Oryzias latipes: one gene and its partner. Each later gene encodes a partner of the first gene's protein in a complex. Links are inferred from orthologs where the notes say so. Each region holds a gene or a part of one and is shown in the gene's direction. Other genes may lie near its edges.

What was found.
Region 2: wasf2 (region 1) and cytoplasmic FMR1-interacting protein 1 homolog share a complex: the UniProt entries of both Homo sapiens proteins name them as parts of the WAVE2 complex. The link is inferred for Oryzias latipes from reciprocal best matches to the Homo sapiens genes WASF2 and CYFIP1.

What each region holds. Positions count from the first base shown.
Region 1 is NC_019869.2:21,796,589-21,800,410, reverse strand, and holds part of wasf2 (wiskott-Aldrich syndrome protein family member 2), read left to right. Parts: coding exon 1-126; intron 127-209; coding exon 210-363; intron 364-1,159; coding exon 1,160-1,277; intron 1,278-1,372; coding exon 1,373-1,491; intron 1,492-2,275; coding exon 2,276-2,419; intron 2,420-3,822. UniProt on the Homo sapiens protein: Downstream effector molecule involved in the transmission of signals from tyrosine kinase receptors and small GTPases to the actin cytoskeleton. Promotes formation of actin filaments. Part of the WAVE complex that regulates lamellipodia formation.
Region 2 is NC_019862.2:28,156,459-28,160,998, reverse strand, and holds the start of cytoplasmic FMR1-interacting protein 1 homolog, read left to right. Parts: upstream 1-1,466; 5' UTR 1,467-1,651; exon of another isoform or gene 1,652-1,845; intron 1,846-4,540. UniProt on the Homo sapiens protein: Component of the CYFIP1-EIF4E-FMR1 complex which binds to the mRNA cap and mediates translational repression. In the CYFIP1-EIF4E-FMR1 complex this subunit is an adapter between EIF4E and FMR1.

The sequences.
Region 1 (3,822 bases):
CAGAGGATGTCTTTGGGGAGCTGTTTGTTGAGGCCGGATCTTTCGCTCTTAGAGTGGACACACTTGTCAAAAGAGTGGAATGTCTGCAGGTTAAAGTCACCCAACTAGACCCTAAAGAGGAGGAAGGTATGTACTTTTTTTTCACGTCACATCAGTCATCGACACTTCAGTTTCTTTTTTTCAATAAAATAATTGTCTTTTTCTCTCAGTCTCTCTACAGGCCATCACTACTCGTAAGGCTTTTCGCAGTGATCGAAGTCAGGACCAGCAGTTGTTCATCAGGCCGTCTCTGCCGGTGCCCATACAGGACACCTACTTGACCTGCAATCCTCCTCCCCCACTCAACCAGCTCAGCCAGTACCGGTAGGAGGCAACAGCCAGCCACAGTTGCATCAGAGCTTGATTCAGATTCACTGCAACGACCGCCACAGACACACTCAGCACGCACAAGGAATAGGAAACACTCTGGAGTCTCATGCACCGGCAGAACACACGTGTGACAAATCTGTTTTATATTCCTGCACAGTTTACGCCTCTTTTTGATCCTGCAGCAAAATTTTCATGAAGTTTAGACTTAAAATAAGCCAAAGAGCATTCAGAAGACCAGAAATAGTCAAGGAAATAATCATAATCTTGATATAAAGGCCACTTCTGCAGGATCTGATATTTTTGAGATGCGTGTGTGTGTGTGTGTGTTTGCTATTTTCTTTTGGTTGAGAGTGCAAAAAGAAAAGCAAATGCATGAAATGTACATTTTTGTTTCTTCACAAATTCATCAAATCCCCATCAGTGATAGTTTGTGGGAAAATGTTTAAAACAACAAACCTTGTTCTCCTAATGTAGGTTTTGCAGCATTTTATCAGAAGTGTGTTTAATCTAAAATAGGTAAAACTGACTAGAGTCTGATGCCTGCAGGTGAGTTTAAAAATATTTGCTGAATTTCAAGATATTTGTTTAACAGACAGTAAGATCATTTAGTGTTGGTGAGGTGTTAACATTTTTTTTTAACTTTATTTGTGTAAACTTGTGAAAAAAAGGGATTCTTTTTTACTCCTAAATGGGAAGTTTAATGTGTTTATGCGATAGATGATCTGTCAAGCCCCCTTGAACTGTCAAGATGGCGTGAAGTGTGACTTATATTATAAATGATTGTCTACAGAGATGATGGAAAAGAGCCCCTGAAGTTTTACACTGACCCCTCCTACTTCTTTGACCTGTGGAAGGAGCAGATGCTGCAGGACACCAAGGACATCATAAAGGAGAAGCGCAAGCACAGAGTGAGACACACAAACGCGCCCACAAGTTTACACCCCAACACATTCAGATCTCACGCCGTTTCCACTTTGTCTTTCTGCTTCTCTGTTCTGAGTAGAAGGAGAAAAAAGACAATTTGAACCAACGGACACTGAATCCTAGAAAAATTAAGACCAGGAAGGAGGAATGGGAGCGGCTCAAGATGGGGGAGGAGTTTGTAGTTCCAAAGAATGAACTGTAAGTATGGTGAAATCAGATTGATCCAGTGCTCGTGAATCTAGGATTACGGTGCTTTTAAAGTCACACTATGAAAAAAACCCAAAACAGATCAATACTTATGTTTATGTTAAGGCTTAGTACAAAAGAAGCAAACAAACGGCAATAAGACGCTACAGAGATGAGCTAAGTACTAGGAACTATGAAGTCTCACTAACCGTCTTACAAAAAAAAAAAAAACATGGTTTACCTACTGACCTTACTAAAAGGTTTTTAGGTCAAGATGCACACGATCGGGCTAAATCAGCAGAGTCTGGTCTTTGAAAAGGACCAGCACAGAAAAACAGTGAACACACAGATCCAAAGCAAACGTTAGAAACTTCATTCTCCTCATTCTTATCAACTCATCTGCACATAGTGATAGGGATGGTACGTCCTGTCTGGGAATGTTACTATGGGGAGGGGGTTGAGTGTAGGGATGGCTGTCTACTGCTGTAAACCTAAAAACATCCAGAGTCTGGTCTTTGACATTATTTGCCATCGTGTCGTGTTATCATACAATGAAAGGGAAAACGTGTAGCCCGTATTAAACAAAGAAAACCTAAGTTACACTGTTTTAATACCAAAACTAGACATTATTCAAGTTGATTTATGCAAACATTTTAAAAGATCATTTAATGTTCTGCCGTGTTGTTGTGCAAAATTCACTTTTTTCTCCTTGTTTTATAGTTTTTAGCCTCATTTTCATGTTTTGGTTTAAAAAAAACAATTTGTTTAGTCCATCCATGCTTTTGTTTGCTTAAAGAAACTCCTCCGAGGGACTGAACGGCAGTATTGGATCAGGGGAGGGCTTCACTTCTGACGCCCTTGAACTCAGCACAAACTCCGCTTATGAACCCGGCTCCCCCATCCCTGATGACTTCCTGCCTCCTCCACCTCCTGACATAGAGTAAGTACTGTTGCACTATGCATGCAAGCCCACACATGCTGCTAGCATTTTGATGTTTCTGCTAGCATGTCGCGAGCACCCATCTGCCGGAGGTGCAGTCCACGTTCACAGATTTTGACGCATCTGATGAGCCAGTGGGGGTTAGTAGTAACAGCTTTGGAAAAGTGATGCTAATTAAACACATTTGTTGTCGGCTTAGCAAGTTTGCTGAGTGACTTTCATACAGTTTATTCTGCACTAAACCACTCAAATGCTTGGCAAAAAAACAAAAACGAATCAGATTCAATCCTTTACATTTTACATAATCTTTTCAGGCAAAAAAAATCAAATAATCCATTAGTTTTTTATGTTTAAAGCACTTTAAAAATGTTTAGCTTATCTTGTTCTTTGCAGTCTCACATAAGGAAGTTGCTGCTTTGTTGTTGTGCCTGTTCAACAACATAAAGCTATTTTCATTTTGGAAGAAGCTTCATCTTCTTTCACTTTGACTCACCAGTTAATTGCTCAAGTGAGTCGGAAATAAAATCATATTATGAACTTGTAAGTTAAAATAAACATTTTTTATTTCATTTTGACAGTAATAATCAGCTCCATCTTAAAGTATAACAAGCTGTTATAGCTGTCATTGTCTTTAACAGGTTGCTTGGCTTTGAGTTGAACTAAAATGTTAAAGTAGAATGTGTTTAAAGGATGGAATCATTTTATCAAGCTGGAAAATGTATTTTTTGAATCTGAGGATTCTAGTGACTTTCTTTTGGTGCCAAAAACTGTATAAAATAGTAAATTATGGTTTATAAATTTGAAATCTAAAAAAAAAACATTACCTACGAGTGAGATGTTGTCTTAGACATTTTATAACACTTTATAATCAGGGTCCCTTTATTAATATTAGTTGGTGTCTAATTAAGAATGAGCTAATTATTATAGTATAAACAGCCACTTTTATGCATTAATTTGCGTTACTAAGTTTATTATTTAATGCGTTAGTTAGCAGTTAACTAATGTTTATTATTCAAACTTGCTTATTTTTTATTTTAAAAAAAACTATAGATTATAATTCTGCTTTTGAATGATAAAATAATGTGAAAAACATATCCAAAAGCAGTGTTTAGGAAAGTAGCTGGTTTCTGAAAATAAAATTTGATCAAACTATTGAGCAATGGTAAAGGTCATGTCACCTGTAAAGGTGGAAATCTTGACGTTTCACTTGGTTGGAGAAAGAACTACGGTACTGCCTCTACAAAGATCAATTGTTTCTACAACAACAGGCTGTTTTCTAAAACGCACTGGACTTTATCCTGCAGTAAATCAGGACAGTTTTCAGGTCGCAGGAATAGATGCTTTTAAAACAATTGGGCTGCTGTTTTTTTTTGAAGCTGTAATTTTGTAAAAAACATAACTTC
Region 2 (4,540 bases), on another chromosome or scaffold:
ATGCACAAAGACACCAATGTAAATAAATGGAGCTTTGTAAAAACATCCCCACAAAGTAATATTTTTATTGATTGATTCGGTTTATTTCAAGCACTAATTTTAGACAATACAAGAAACAAATTCACACAGATTTATCAAACTCACTACGAAATGCACTGAGTTAGCAAACAAACAAAACAAAAGAAAAAACACTTAATTCACATTTGATTCATTAAATATGGTGAATATTAACTAGAGTCAGGTCAAGCTTGATTTCTTGCTGAGTGGTATGGGCAAACGGAGGCAAACTTTTATAATCCTACCCTGATATTTTGTTGCTGTATGGTGGAAATTTTGCTCAACGCAAGTGTAAACAACAAAACAACAAGCTTTACGGTGATCTATAGCAGTGTTTTTCAACCTTTTTTGAGCCACGGCACACTTTAACCTTGACAAAAATCCCGCGGCACACCAGCATCCAAAAAAATAGATAAATTAAAAAAAAAGAAAAAGCTCAGTCTGTATTGATCTACAGCCGGTCTGCAATCTCACATGCATTTTTATGATAATTGTTGCAGAAAACGCTGGAAGCTGCAGCTGTTTTTTCTAAAAGATGTATTAAAAATTAAGTCAAAAGATTCAAAAACTGTTTGATGTGTGTTCGTTGTTTTAAGACGTTGAGAGGAGAGACTCATTGTGCGCTAAGACAGTCACTTTACTGCATCATGGGAGATGTAGTACCCGTAATCCGCCGACCGCAGAAAGACCAGCGTATTTGAGCTTCATTGTTTTGTTCACTTGTTCCAGTATGATACCAGATTATGTGGAAAGCTACACCGCTAAAGACGAGCTTTAGCTGGTATTTTTGTTAGAACAGAGAGACTTTTTTGCGCTAAATCGAAATAAGGAAGTGAATACTTTAACCACGTCTGATTGGTCAGACTGATGACATGTGATTAAGAATGATTGGTGGAGACAGTTAAAGGGGCGGGACTTTTCCTCACACAGTTATAGCTGCAGCTAAATCGCGGTATCCCGTTATTCTTATCAAAATGTCTTTAATAGAATCATATAAACACAAAGAAAAAATAATGTTATGATATTTCATATTCTTAACTTCTCAGTGTTTTATCAGGGCCTGTTTGGATGAACAAAGAGCTGATTTCCTGGAGATGGTAATTGCTTTTAGATCAGTTAATGAGGGCAATTTCTCACGGCACACTTGACCATCTCCCACGGCACACTAGTGTGCCGCGGCACACTGGTTGAAAAACACTGATCTATAGGCTCCAGCTCATTTCAGTTCATTATGTTCACACTTAGATACACAAGTATCAAAGGATGTTGTATAAAACATATTTTTATACAATTAAATACACATGTGTATGCATTTCATTGTTGTTTTCCCATCGAATAATTTTCATATACAATACATTTTAAAAGTGAGTTTTATTTGAAATTTGGTATCGTTTTAGAATTATTTTTGGCTCCATTTGCTTTCCATACCCAGCCAGGTTACCGTACATTCCTTTGGCTGCACCTTCCATCCTGGGCGCGCGCGCTCCTGCCCTAGCGGAGGAGGCCTGAACCGCAGCTGTGAGCGCAGTTTCCTGTTGAGTTTCCCTGTTTCAGGGACAGGAACTCCCTGCTCTGCTTTGCTCCTCCGCCCATGGTAAGAACTCCGAGCAGGGAAAGAATTCTCCGGCCGACGACCGTGTAACCCCCTCTCCCGCCTCACCCGCGGCGACGGTGTTCAAAAAGCAGGGCGGTTGGGCTCGGCGGAAGGATCGGGCTTTGGGACTGTATGGCGGTGTAGTGGGCTCCGAGCGCGAGCACAGGTTTTCCCGGTGAAGCGACAAACTGCGGGTGAGTAGAAATGACTCACTTCGAAGTTGTGTGGATCTCCGACTACCTCGCCCAAGAGTAACAGAAAAGTTCTGCCACTCGATTTTCTGGGTTTATTTTTTCCTCTGCTCATATATGAAATTCCCTTTCTTACTCGGCCACCTAATTAAACCATCGAGGGGATAATTAGCTTACAGCTTGTTTCAAAGTAAAGCCGTTTTCCTGGCCCACAGGCCTGAGCTGGGAGGACTAATCTCAGGCCACGGCACGGAGCGGGGATCGGGCCAACATGTTGGAGGCAGGACTTGAACACATCAAAGCTTTTCCCGGTGTTTCGTTTTACGGTCTTAACTTTTTATGTTACGTTATTTAAAAATAAATAAAAGTAGTTGTAATTCGCCTGTCATGACGGCAACAGCAGAGTCGATTTAAACGTACTTCAATAACAATCCATGTTTGTAACAGCCAAAACGTTTGTGGTCAGGAATTTGACTTCATGTTGCCTTCACTGCCCATTTTGTAACGTAAACAACTGTTGGAAATCCAAGTATCACAATTTCAGCATATTGAGGTAGTTTTTATTTTTTTATTAATTCCAACTAAGATCAGAAACGCTGTGCTACAAGACTTTAGTTCCTTGGAATTTCTTACAATTCAAGGAATTCCGGATGGAATGACAAAAGAGGAAGACAGATAACATTTTTCCCTTCTATGTTTCAGTTTCTTCTTTTTAAGATCCCATAAAGCTAAAAACGGACAAAAGGGCTTTAGACTAACTTTTTGCACTGGTACGCCTCATTTGGTTTCTTAGGTGAGACTTTTCAACCGCATTACATTTAACAGTTAATGTTCCTGGGTCACCTTTATGTTTAAAACACTGGATAATGGACATTTGGTCTGTGCATTTATAATAGCATAAAAAATGTGTTTTTCTAACTTGTTTTTTAATGTTTCATCTCAATATGGTTCATACTAAATTATTAGCAAAAAGTTTCCCTTTTTTGTTGATTTTCTTTTTTAAAGTTCCCCTTTTCTATCTTCCTCCCATGTTCTTTGCACTGAAAATCTCATGAAGACAAACAGCAATTCATTCTTTGATCTCAGAGGATTAAGACAAATTCAGCATTTATTATATCATAAACTACATTTTCCAGATGTTCAAACTGCGTCTTAACAGCTTCATTCTCTTCTCCCTTTGTTTACAGTGTCCTCTCTTTGAGCTGTCAAAAACAGAAATATGCACAATGAAGTGGTAGTTATTTTAATAAAACCTGTCTGTCGTTCTCATCTAAACCTGGTTCCGTTTTTGTTAAAAGGTCGCACCTCAAAGTCCTGGACAGCACATGTCAACTATTTCATTGTATCATGCAGTGAACATCTATATAGTGTATAAAGTACAGCCACATAAGTTGATCCATAGGTTTGATTAGACTGCTTTGGTTCTTCTTGGCTCAAAGTTCAACTTTTTTGTTTTCCCAAACCCCGTAGGAAAGTTACACAGCGTCTGGTTTTTCTAGACACGTCTCCAAATTTGCCTGAAATTTCAAATTATGTTTGTTTAATTGCCTTGAAGTCAACGCAGACATTTTGGGCTAAACAGTATTCTAGTAGCCAATTCTGCGACTTAAAAGTGCGTCCATGATGTTCATTAGAAATACACAAACGTTGACAGACAGAATGTAAGAAAAGAATTTCGTGAATCACTTTGTATAATAAAAAAACCAAAAAACATTTTATAGCCTATAATGGTGCAAATAAAATGTATCTCCAGCTAGCAAACAAGAATTCTGTTCCCCACAAACCTGTTACTACTTCTTTAAAAAGCTGTTCAATTCTCCCTGTTACTTGTATGAATGGTACCTGTATGATCTGGTTAAATGGATCAAAGGCACCTGTCCACACCCTTAAACAATTGGACTGCAACATCTCCACCACGACCAAGACCAAAGAGCTGTCAAAGGACACTGGGGGCAAGATTGTAGACCCGAACAAAACTGGGATGAACCAATTTACAATAAGCAAACAGCTTGCTGAAAATAGATCAACTGTCGGAGCAATTGTTAGAAAATGGAAGAAATATAAGATCACTGACGTTCAACATCCGCCTGAGATGTTGGGACTTGTGGGTGACCTAACGAGACCTGGGACCACAGTAACTAAGGTTACTATAGTAACACAACATCACCATGGATTCAAATCCTGCAGTGCTCCAAAGAATTCAATCCGTTAGAGAAACTGTGGAGTGAGTTCATGTAGCCCAGCAACATCCTTAAAGCATCACAGCTCTTGAGAAGATCTGCATGGAATAATGGACCAAAATAGCAGTTACATTGTTTGGGAACCTGCTTGGAGACCTACAAGAAACCTTTGATCTTTGTCATTACATTGCAGTGCTCCAATACATGAATAAATATAAAATATAAAAAAATCCACTACAAATCAAACTTATCTTTTTAAGTGGGACAACTTGCAGAATTAGTGACGCATTTTAAATGCATCTTTGTTTTTAAAGGAAAACTGTTTTTCCAAGTGCATTTGCATTTGTCTGGTTAACAAAGTTAACATAGTGTGCCAAAAATGTGTTGTGTTGGAAATAGAAGCTGCTTTGCCGTCACTTTTTCTGTTTCATTTGCTGACATTGTCTTTGTTAAAGCTGGATGTCAATGGGACCCATAATTCAATGGGACCCATAATTCAGTGTTCCCCTTTTTCTAAA